2 linked regions of the Caenorhabditis elegans genome follow. The protein of the gene in region 1 interacts with the protein of each later gene in a biochemical or structural test. Each region holds a gene or a part of one and is shown on either strand. Other genes may lie near its edges.

Region 1 (3,783 bases):
TTCAAATATTCTCCCTCTTCTCCACCAACTTCACCAATTTCATCCATTGGATCAACTCCCTCTTCTATCTTTTCATCAGTCTGAAAGTAATTATTCTAAATTTAATTTTTTTCAGTTTTACAGACCGTTTCATCTTCATTCTCTACTTCTTGTCCACAAATATTTTCAGTTCCGTTTTTAGAAAATGATTTCGCTCTCATGAATGCCGACATTTCCACACGATTCTTGAGATATTTAATAAAACGAGAAAGTACTCCTTTTTGACTGTTGAGAAGTTGAAGCATATGTTGTAGCTTCACATTTGGAATTCTGTAAATGTTTGAATTATTTCGGAAAAAAAAAATCTGCTTACTTATTATCATAAACCTCTATAACATCGTTAATAAAGAGAACCAACTCGTTTTTCAGTATATTCACAACGAAATCTTCATTTTCAGAAAGTGGATTTTCGTCGTCTCCCGAAGTGAACATCAAACTCGTCACAACACTTCGAATCGATGGTTCAAGCTCATTTGAGTCATCTACTGAAAAAATAAATTCCGTGTGAATATTGTAACAAATCCGAAACTTTTTTGGAAACACACATTTGAAAATGTATTTTTCAGTATATTTTTTGAAAAAAAAAATTAATTTTTAACTTCGATAATTGTCGAATTGCCGCCAACCCGTGTAAAAATGCTCACATTTTATCTCCTGATCCAATGTTGGGCGAGCTTTTTCTGTGGTCTGTACCTTCTTTTTCACAGCCCTTTTCGGAGGCATCTGGAAATCACCATAGAATAGAAAATATTGTTTTTATTCCAAGTAAACTTTCGAACGACAACTTTCGTAATAAAAAACTTAGAAACACTCTTCAGGATCGTAGAAAATATTTTATTTGGAGGGAGAAAAATCGCAAAATTAAAGTCAAAAACAAAACAAGAACCGTAGTCCAAGACCACACGACAAGGGGGAAAACTTGGAAGTATGAGAAATATTTCAGAAACAGATTAATTTGAAATGGGGCATAGTCGCAAAGCGGAAAACGACTACACTGGAACAAATGGTGTTTTTCGAAGTGCAAATATGGCCATTGATGATTATAGAGGAGAATCAAATCGATGCTTAGCAGAAATATTGAGCAGTTTACATGAACTGATCTGCCCACTCGTTCAAACAATTGAACGCCGTCTTCGCGTGATTTGCAGTCACTCCAGCCGTCTCTTTCAGCCATTCGATAAACAAATCCTCGTCTTTCTTCAGAAGGAGATACTGTCCGAACAGTACGTAGGCCTGAAATTCAAATTTTAACATTGATCGAAAATTTGAGAAAAAAAAATCTACATACTTTATCGAAGCCTGCATCGGTGAGCTTGGTGCCATATGTTGGCCCGATCCCGGCGATGCATGTGACTTCTTTGTCGCCCATTGGCTCTCCGACGAACTCACGATGCTTAACAGAAGTCGACATGGTTTCTGAAACACAAAATAATTACATTCTTGAATTTGAAAATATTTTCGAAAATCGTAGTAAAAAGATAGTTGCGAAATAAAATAAAACTGGCAAGAATAGATAGGAAAATAGACAACGCTCCCTTTTAAACGAAACGCTTGGCGGCCACAGTTCAGCGGAGCGCGTTTGCATTCTGTCTGCGTCTCTCGATTTGCGCACTCTTTCACGAATACTTCTTTTTGACTGTAATTTTTTGGCATCTGCCTCTCCTCTAAAATAATCGATTCATTCGTATGTCGCTGACATTTATTATTCCCAAGAACTAAAAAGACGGGAAATTTAATCGATAATCTTTTCATATAAAATATTTTTTTCTTAACTTGTATAGAAATGTTGTGAAAATATTGGAAAACAAAATGAGCAATTATTGGTGATGACGTTTTCTGTATTCGAGAATCGCTGGATCTGGTGGTGATGCAAGGGCTGAGAATTTCGGTTGGGCAATTCTATGGCGGCAAGCGAATCTTCCGACTTCATCTGCAAGATTTTGTGGGCTATCTTCCTGCAAGACAATTTATATAAATTATTAATTGAGTATAACATTTACCTGAACACAATGTCCAACTTTTGGTAACACACAAGTCTGAAACTTTCCCTGCATTTGACCAATTGTGAGATCCCTGTCCAGCCGATCAACGCCCGCTAGAACAAGCATCTTCGGAACGGAACATCCCAAAAATTCTTTGGATAATCCTTCAAACCATCCTTTCCAGTACTGTTCTGTTGTTGTTAAATCAATTCGCCAAGTGTACTCGTGTTCCGATACTTCTCTAATTTGAGACGGCATTGAGACCCGTGCAGCTGTGGGATTCCTCGCTGTACCCGAAGAAAGGCACCAGTGAATGGCTTTTTCGATAGAAGGAAATGAAGAAGGCCTTGAATGTAAAAAATGAACCATTCCTCCAAGTGCTTCCATAGCGGAACCTTCGACAACATCAATGACAATGAGTGCAGCGACTTTTGAAGAAATCATCTTTGCATTCAATGTATGAATGGCCAATGCACCACCCATACTGTGTCCAACAATGCATACTGGTGAATCGTCTTCGCCGAAAATGTTCTTGAAGATTGCTCCAATATCTCTACAATATGTCGATAGAAGTTACAAAACTTATCAAAGCGAAACCTCACTTTATTTGGGTTTCTTTCGAAAGATCGTGCTCATCAGAACATTTAGTGTCGCCGTGTCCTCTTAAATCAGGTGCAACAACTCTGCATGATATTAAAGTTGCCAATTCTTTCTGAACAGAACCATTAATGACTGACACTAGAATAGAACAAAACATACCGCAAAACACGCCCATGTGAGGCCTGAATAACCTCCACCGTGAAGCAAATAGAAAATTGGACCTTCATTTCCCTTTATGTACACATTGAAAACATCTCCATCAATGTTTGCGTCCTTCTTTTCATCAAAAAAATCTGACCACGGTAGTTCAGACATTTCTCGTTTCTTTCCAGAAGTTGATGTGCTCGGAACTGGTGGTGGCCTTCCATGAGTGACCGCTTGACGAAGAAGATCATTTTGCTGAAATTGATATTTAATAAAACATCATCTTGTTAATTTTCACTATTAATGTACCCTGTGAGGAGTTGTGACATGTGACGTTTCCGATTGAAGATCCGGAAGAGTGTCTAATTTATCGTCGGACATGGTGATCTGTAAATTAATATATTTAAATATTTAAGACAATTAAATAGAAAGCTATATTTATTAAAATTGAGCCAAAAAAATAAAATTATTAAAAATCTCCGAAATGGCCTAGAAAATGCTGACATGCGTTTTCTAGGCCAACGCGCTCGTAGTACACGAGGACAAAAAGATTCGAAAATATTTTATCGAAAACTCCCTCGAAAATGTTTTTTCTGTGATTTTTCTCACTAATTTGTTGTTTTAATATAAATATTAATCTAATCGCAAGCTTTACATCAACTCTAGTGTGTTACAGGTTCACAATGACTGCGGATTCACTCCGCGAACGACTGAAAAGTCAAAATGCAGACTATTCATTACTCAACACATCACAGGCATCAAACCGGTCAGCATTTGAAGACAAAATGTCCCCAGTGTGCAAGAGCAGATATGTGAATGATAATCAGAGACTAGAACAATCGAGAATAACAATGCTGGAAACCAGGATCAAATGGCACATCATTCTCTTAACTGGCTTCTCTATTGATGTAAGAGATGAAACTATTAATTTTTATTAACCAGTTTGTTTCAGCATTTGGTGCTCAATTCATCGTTTACCTCTGCAATTCTTCTTTTCGGATTCTTTCCCTCCTACGTA
Region 2 (8,473 bases), on another chromosome or scaffold:
GGCGGTCTGGAATATATACTTTTGAGTGCAAATTTTGTCGGTGGTGGTGCTCACGGGCTTCTGGTCTTCCTCAATGCATTTTTGGCGTTAATCTACCACGACCATGGCCGAGCTCAAATGGCCTAGTTCGGCAGACTTTTACATTCAAAAATTCGTGGGAAGCCAGAAGCGCGTGGCTGCTCCAAACACTTTAATTTTAAAACTCTGTAATTTTTTTTCCGGTTTTTATTTTTTCGAATGTAAATGAAAAGATTCCAGAAAGTCGTTTTGAAATTATTGGAATTGGAACATTTGGTGATTTTAGTATAAACAACTAAATTAAAATCTATATTTTTATTTCATAAGCCTACGTCTAAGCTCAAGCCTAAACCTAAGCCTGATTCTAAGGCCAAGCCTAAGCCGACGCCTAATCCTAAGCTTAAACCTAAGCTTAAGCCTAACCCTACGGTTAAGCCTAAACTTAAGACTAATCCTAAGGATAAGTCTTAGCCTAATTGTAAGCCTAAGCCAAAGCTAATCCCGAAACTATGAAATTTTACACTGAAATTGTTAGGTTTAACACAAAAATTTGCGAGAACTCGAAAATTTGTAAGAAAATAGATAAGAAAATGTTTTTCGAATTTTTTCGGCGAAAAAAAAAGAAAAAAACTCACTTGAATAGCTGCCTGAACTTGATCAACGGCGATTGCCTTTGGATTTGTAATATTTTGCAATGCATTGAAGACTACTTGTCTTAAATCCTTATTTGTACAGAATAGAGCGTCGACTGAAAAAAAACTTTGAAAAGAATGTTTTTTCTCAGATTTTTTTTAGTTTCAAATCAAAAATAATTGTTTCCCAGTAAAAACTTACTATTCGGCAAAACTCCACGATCATCATTTCTAACAGGAAAACTGTGTGAAAACGCAAAAAATACGTGGAACAGAAGCAAAAATCGGCGCATTTTCCGGCAGGTGCATCTGGTGACACTGTGTCAGGTGCTCGAAGAGTCAATTAGACACCCCGATAAGAAACATTTTAATTATTCATTTTCTTCTGATAAGTGATAAGGAACATGGTGACGATTTTTCGAAAATCGGGGAGAATGCAAACGCGCTTCGTTGAGAATCCGGCGAAAAAATCTGGAAAAAATTGATATTTTCTGAAAAATTGGGATGTTACTGTGCATGTTTCCGAAAACCCCGATTTTTTGTGATGAAAATTACCAAAAATGTAGTTTTTTTTTTGAAAAGTTGACTGAAAATTCGAATTTTTCGTAAAAATTTCATCAAAAACCCAAATTGTGCAGCAAAAAAATTTGTGGCCTAACTTTTTGTTTAGGTGGCCTAGGATTTTTTTGTTGACAAATGCGAGAAAATGCGAAAAATTACCAGAATATTTGAATTTCACGTGAAAATTTTATCATAAACCCCAAGTTTTGCATTTAAAAATTGGTGGCCTAACTTTTTTCTGGTGGCCTAGAAATTTTTACTGAAAAATTAGAAAAAACCGCAAAAAATTAGAAACAGTTAACTGAAAATTCGGATTTTTCGTTAAAATTTCATCAAAAACCTCAAGTCTTGCAACAAAAAATTGGTGGCCTAATTTTTTTGTGATGGCCTAGGAATATTTTGCTGCAAAAATGCGGGAAAACCGCGTGAAATTAGAAAAAGTTAATTGAAAATTTGAAATTTTCGTAAAAAACTTCATCAAAAACCTCAAGTTTTGCAAAAATTTGCAACAAAAAAATTGGTGGCCTAACTTTTCTTTAGGTGGCCTAGTGATTTTTTTGCTGAAAATTCAAATTTTTCGTAAAAAAATGACTGAAAATCCGCCAGGTTTTCACAAATTAGCAGATAAAACTGCGCTCTATTGCAATATTTATTCGAAAAAATTCGAAAATCATGTGATAGTTGCGAAATTCGAGCTGTTTTTGTTGCCTCATCACTTTTTTCTGTTTCTTTTCTCACCAAACTCTTATTCAAGAGTTTATGGGGCGAAAATCTGCAATTCTAGCTGTAATTCTTGCTATAATATATTTCAGAAGTAATTTCAGGTGACTTTACATTATTTAATATATTTTTTTGCAAAAAAATCGATCGATTTTCAGCGATTTTAAGTTTACCCCCTGAGAGAGTGTAGGAAAGTGAGAGACGGAGACAGAAAGCGCTACAACGACGCTCCGATATTGCGGGTTGCATGTTGTTTAGCGTATTTCAGCGGGTGTTTTAAATGAGGAAATATCGGTTTTTATCGGTTTTTTATTGGATTTTCGTCGATTTTTCTCATTTTTTAATTGTTTTTTTGCAGTAAAATGTCAAATACACCGGTGCAGGAGACTGAGGGACCGGTCTACGTGGCATATTCCATGGAAGATATGCTAAAATCGCCCAGAGACTTGTATAAGTGAGTTTTTACTCGATTTTTCGCTGAAAATTTCGATTTTTTTTACAGAAGCGTCAAGGAAGTGGCGAAATTCGTGAACTCGGCCGAAGGAAAAAGCATGTCGGCTCGTTTTAAGAAATTCGGAACGCCACGAGAAGCGATGGACTTTCTCGCGTACGGAGATGCGCCGACGACACCGAAAACCGTGCCGCCCGTCGCCCCAACTGAGCCAAATTCACCGTTTTCCGGTGTAAATCGCATTCAAATGAATGAATTCAAGAAATATGTGGAAAAAGGAGATATGGAGAATTTTTTGTAAGGATTGTGAAATTTTTGAAAAATTGGCGAAAAGTAGATATAATTCTCGATTTATTACAAAAAAAAATCCGGCACTGTTATAGTTTTTAGCTGAAAAAATTGAAAAATCTGTACAAAAAGATGGATATTTCCGCAGTTTTGCTGGAAAAAAGCCTTTTTCTCGAAATTTTCCCATAGAAGGTGGATTTTTCCCAAAAAAACCAGACTTTTTCGAGAAGTTATCGATTTTGATCCGAGTTTTCACCATAATTATCTATTTTTTCTATCATTTTCCTTTTTTTTTTCCTTGAATTTCTTTAAAAATTTATTTTCCCCCTAGTATCCTTTAAAAATTCGATTTTCACTCAAATTTTCACAAAAATTATCAATTTTTTGGAATTTTTATCAAAAACTAGATTTTTCCCGGATTTCCCCAAAAAAAAATCGATAGCTTATCAAATTTTTACCAAAAAAAAAATTTTTGGAATTTTTACCAAAAATTATCGAATTTTCCTAGAAAATCCCAAAAAAATGGGGTTTCCCGAATTTCCCCAAAAAAAAAAAGCGGACTTTTTTCCAAAATTTTTCACAAAAATATTGATTTTCACCCAAATTTTTGGAATTTTTACTAAATATCCCACAAAAATTAATTTTTTCGAATTTCCCCCTAAAAAATTATTTAAAAAACCGATTTTTTTCAAATTTCTCACAAAATGATTGATTTCTTACCAAATTTTCACCAAAAATAGATTTTTGGAATTTTTACTTAAAATAATCGTGTTTTTCCAAATTTCTCTTGAAAATCGATTTCCCCTAAAAAAATTACAAAAAAAAATCGATTTTTACTCGAATTTTCACCAAAACTTTCGATTTTTCGGAATTTCCAACAAAATTATCACTTTTCATGAATTTTTCTCAAATATCCTTCAAAAAATCGATTTTTCCCGAATTTTTACAAAAATGCCGATTTTCTGTAATTCCGGTCAGAAATTATCGATTTTTTTCAAATTTTCATTTGAAAAATCCAAAAAAAACCTTTTTTTTTTCTTAATTTCCACCAAAATCACTGCAACTTTTTCCTCACGAGGGACGAGGAAAAATGGTTTCTAGGCCATGGCCGAGAGGCCGACAAGTTTCAGCAAAAAAATTCGAGATTTTCGCACAAAAAGTTGAATTTTGAAAATCTCAAAACTTTTTCAGCGGTCTCGTTATGAAAATCAGGTAGTCTCAGCATTTAAGCATCATATGTATCATGTTTCAGAAAAAGTTTAGGTTTTGTATTCCCGTAATCCATCATTTTACATTGACCACTTTCACCGCTGCTTGCCCACTGAATACATGATTTTTTTACTTGGAAATTGTTTTAGCATCTGCAAAAAATATTTATTCATCAGTTTTATTAAGAAAAAACGAAAAAAATCGATGAAAAACGAAAGAAAACAGGCGGAAAACAAAGCAAGATAAATGGCCGCTGAAACTTGTCGGCCTCTCGGCCATGGCCTAGAAACCATTTTTCCTCGTCCCTCGTGAGGAAAAAGTTGCAGTGAAAATTATCGATTTTCTTGCAGACGCCTCGTCGATTCGAATCCACGTTTTCTCGTGAATACCGGTGGTGACGTGGCATCAATTGTGATGGAAGGATTCCGTTATAATGCTCTACACATTGCCGCCAAAGCCGGCCAAACGGAAATAATCGCAAAAATTCTGGAACTCATTCAAAATATCGATTTTCTGATTCGCCTGTACGGCACCGGCGCCGATGACGTCACGCTACGAAAAATCAATATTCTGGATTCATATTTAAATACGCCGGACAAAGGAAACTCGGATACCCCACTACATTTTGCTTCGAAATTCGGAAAAATCGGCGTTGTTCGAGTTTTGACTGAAAATTCCGCGACGGATAGGACACTGCTCAACAAATCCGGAAAAAGCGCGTTGGATTGTGCCGGCGAACGATATACGGGAGAGGATAAGGATATGGTGCAACGGGATATTCATTTGGCTATTGAGGTGCGGGAAATTACCAATTTTCCGCGATAAAAATTGAGAAAAAACGGGAAAAATTGCGGAAAAATCGATTTTTTCGTTTAAATTTTATCAAAAACTCCAATTTTTGCAACAAAAAAAAATTGGTGGCCTAGAATTTTTCACTGAAAAATGACAAAAACAGCGAAAAATTACCGAAAAATTCGAATTTTTGTAACAAAAAAAAATGGTGGCCTAACTTTTTCTTCAGGAGGCCTAGGAATTTTATGGGAAGAAATTGCGGAAAATTCGATATTTTCGTAAAATTATGACTAAAAACCGCCAATTTAGTTAGAACATAAGATTATGGCCTAACTTTTTTCTGGTGGCCTAGGTTTCTTTTTGCTGTAAAAATGCGGGAAATTACGAATTTTCCTGAAAAATTTGAGAAAAAAGGAGAAAAAACCCAATTTTTTTGTGGTGAAAATAGCCAAAAATGCAATTTTTTTTCTGAAAATTGTGAAAAATCAAGTTTTCTAGCCTGATCCTGCAAAAAACCACCGGAAAAATCCAATTTTTTTTCGTTAAAATTTCTAAGATTTGAGCAACAAAAATTGGTGGCCTAGGTTTTTTTACTGCAAAAAAATCGAAAAAAAACTCGAAAAATTACCGGAAAATTAGAATTTTTCGTTAAAATTCAATAAAAACCCCTATTTTTGCAACAAAATTGGTGGCCTAACTTTTTTTCTGATGACCTAGAAAAGATTTCCGTATTTCTAGGCCACCTGAATATCAAGTTAGGTCATTAATGTTTTGCGCAAAAATAAAGATATTCCATTTTCGCAATATTTTTCATCCAAAAAATGGAACTTTTGGATTTTCAAAATTTCTAGGCCACCTGAACAAAAAGTTAGGCCACCAATTAATTTTTTGCGCTAAAGAGAATTCAGAAATTCCCAATTTTCCAGTATTTTTTATTAAGAAAATGGAACTTTCTAGATTTTCAAAGTTTCTAGGCCACCAATTTTTGGGTGCAAAAAAATCGGAAAAAAAAGTTGGTGGGCTAAGTATTTCTATGATGGCCTAGGAAACTCCAGGAAAAAAGTTAGGCCGCCAATGTTTTTTTCCGAAAAAAAGTCAGAAATTGCGAGTCTTGCAGTATTTTGTCTACAAAATTTTTTGTGTTTTAAAAATTTCTAGGCCACTAAAATACAGAAAGTTAGGCCACCAATCTTTTTGCGCCAAAAATTCAAAGAAAACACCTTTTTTTGAGAAAAAAAATTGATGGCCTAACTTTTCCTACATGGCCTGCGAAAAAGTTAGGTCATTATTTTTTTTAATGCGAAAAAAAAACTTTAAATCAATTTTTTTCAGGGTTTCTACGTATTTCTGCACCGAAATCCAACAACCGGCTCCACACAGCTTACAGTATCCCAGAAGCCGCCGGCTACCTACAGTACCTCGCCGACCACAGCTACAGTAACCGTGTCAGCACAGGCGGGACCATTTTTCACGGAGCGAGAAGCTCGAGATTTCGCAAAAAGCTGGCAAACCGCGGGAAAAGAGCTGAAACGAACGGATTTCGATAAAGGATGGGAACGTGTCGGCCGTGTGCTCGCCGAGCAATCAGAAGCCATGTGGCGAGAGACTTGGCACTTCTTGGGCTCTATGGAGCTTCTCGATTTGGGCTCCGAGCAGGGACTGGGCGTGCTGGAAGCGTTTTTACGCGAAAAACGGCGAGGAAATCTGAGAAATTCTGAGATTTCCGAAATTTCCACGAAAAAATCGATATTTCGACGAGGAATTCACGCTAGAAAGTTGGATTTTGGAATTTTGGATGGAGAAAAATCGGCGGAAATATCTGAAAATTTAACCCCAGACGGATCCGATTCCGCTGACGACGAAGACGACGATGACATATTCTACGACACATTCTCTGAAATTCCGGCCGCCGCTGAAAAATCGATAAACGATCCGGACGACACGCTCGGAAGTCTCACCGATCGATTTGCGGCGATTTCGATTTTTTCGCCGTTGCCGCCGCCGCCGCCGCCGCAATGGTCAAATTCGCCGAATTTTGATTATTCTGAAGGCGAGGATTCGTTTGCGACGCCGCCGACAACGCCGCCGCCGACTTTTGTGGCAGATGATGAGCCATGCAAGGTTCGAAATGGGAAAAATCGATAAAAATTGATAATTTTAGTGGAAAATCGTTAAAAATCGTGTATAAGCGAGTGGAAATTGTTTAAAATTCAAAAATTTTGGGCAAAAGTCGATAACTTCAGTGGAAATTTTCTGAAAATCAATTTTTCCTAGAAAAATCGATAATTTTCGAGAAAAATCGACAAAAATACAAAAAAAAAATCAATTTTTGTTTAAAATTCTGAAATATCGATTTCCCTGAAAATTCAAGAAAAACTGAAAAAATCGATAATTCCTCAATAAAATCACATTTTTTCCAGATCGACAACGACTTATTCGAAGTTTTGGCTCAAATTTCATCTGAATTGATCTCCAAATTCCCGCTCACTCAAGACTACGTTCAGAAACTGGGAAAATTGACGGCTCATGACAGATCCACGTGGCGTCCGATCGATTCGCCGGCCCGATGCGATTCCAGGCGAAAAATTTAATAATTTTAATAGTTTTACGACATTTCCCACACTTTTTTTAATCATTTTTCCACTGAAACATATCTGAAAATCGATCTTTTTTTTTTTAATTTATTAAAAATTCTTGTAAATACCGAATGAAACTTTGACAACTTGAGATTAAAGTCTATCATTTTGCAGAAAAATCAATAATTTTCGCAGAAAAATCAATAATTTCCTAGAAAATCAATAATTGTGTAGAAAAATCGATAATTTGGAAGAAAATCAATAATTTTGCAGAAAAATCGATAATTTGGAAGAAAAATCAATAATTTTGCAGAAAAATCGATAATTTGGAAGAAAAATCAATAATTTTGCAGAAAAATCGATAATTTGGAAGAAAAATCAATAATTTTGCAGAAAAATCGATAATTTCCAAGAAAAATCAATAATTTCCTAGAAAAATCGATAGTTTTGCAGAAAAAATTGATTCGAAAATTCATTATTTAACTTCCTATCTCAAGGAGTTTACAGTTTCCAGCTGAAAAGAGAAGTTCAAAATTAAATTTTTCCAAAAAATCCAGAAAATGTTTATTTTCAATCGATAACTATGACAATAATTGCATAAATCAATAGAAAAGTGAGATAGGACAAGAAAATACAGAAAAGGGCCGCCCGTTTTCGATTTCCCAACATGGCGGTCGTGATTTGGCGTTGGATGGGCGTCTGAAAATTGGAAAATGAGATACTTTTGTTAAAAATCGATAATTTTTGTGATAAAATCAATCAATTTTTATGAAAATTGATAACATCCGGTAAAAATCAATAAGTTTGGTGAAAATCGATAATTTTCTGAAAATCAATAAAATTGCAAAAAAAAAAACAATGAATTTCCATCAAAATCGATAATTTTTTTCAGAAAGCGATAAATTTTCAAAAAACATGACTATTTTATCAAGACATGAACTTTTTTAACACAAAGTTCCGGAAAAATCAATAATTTTTCATTAAAACTATAAATTACGAAAAATTGTGAATTTTTGAGAATTATCGATTTTTCAACCGAATAGTAATAAATCAATAAAACCTACCGGTCCAGGACATGCGGTGACTATCGTCGTCCTCGGCTTATGTTCTTTCTTCATCAAATAATCGATAACATGATTTACATATCGCAAGGGTCCGCTGTGTTCTGTGTCAGCTAAATAAATAGTGTGGGATGAGGAGAGACGCAGGCTGACAGAGTGTAAATT

The links.
Region 2: of the proteins of baf-1 (region 1) and lem-4, one has a biochemical effect on the other in vitro, tested with the Caenorhabditis elegans proteins (one study listed by BioGRID).

Annotation. Positions count from the first base shown.
Region 1 is NC_003281.10:9,465,136-9,468,918, reverse strand, and holds baf-1 (Barrier-to-autointegration factor 1), read right to left. Parts: upstream 1,456-3,783; 5' UTR 1,451-1,455; coding exon 1,328-1,450; intron 1,273-1,327; coding exon 1,126-1,272; 3' UTR 861-1,125; downstream 1-860. Other genes in the region: tag-342 (transcription initiation factor TFIID subunit 13 family protein), read right to left, coding at 1-80, 126-309, 353-524, 684-762; B0464.9 (putative protein phosphatase methylesterase 1), read right to left, coding at 1,857-1,994, 2,040-2,574, 2,624-2,733, 2,781-3,020, 3,075-3,146; B0464.6 (uncharacterized protein), read left to right, coding at 3,449-3,673, 3,718-3,783. UniProt on the Caenorhabditis elegans protein: DNA-binding protein which plays an essential role in nuclear envelope formation. Required for normal chromosome segregation during mitosis. Associates with the nuclear lamina via its interaction with LEM domain containing proteins emr-1 and lem-2.
Region 2 is NC_003282.8:848,195-856,667, reverse strand, and holds lem-4 (Ankyrin repeat and LEM domain-containing protein 2 homolog), read left to right. Parts: upstream 1-1,905; 5' UTR 1,906-1,970; coding exon 1,971-2,035; intron 2,036-2,289; coding exon 2,290-2,385; intron 2,386-2,433; coding exon 2,434-2,679; intron 2,680-4,229; coding exon 4,230-4,674; intron 4,675-6,003; coding exon 6,004-6,792; intron 6,793-7,091; coding exon 7,092-7,262; 3' UTR 7,263-7,399; downstream 7,400-8,473. Other genes in the region: Y55F3BR.11 (Ground-like domain-containing protein), read right to left, coding at 1-6, 654-766, 853-943; lgc-33 (Neurotransmitter-gated ion-channel ligand-binding domain-containing protein), read right to left, coding at 7,818-7,946, 8,312-8,421. UniProt on the Caenorhabditis elegans protein: Involved in mitotic nuclear envelope reassembly by promoting dephosphorylation of baf-1 during mitotic exit.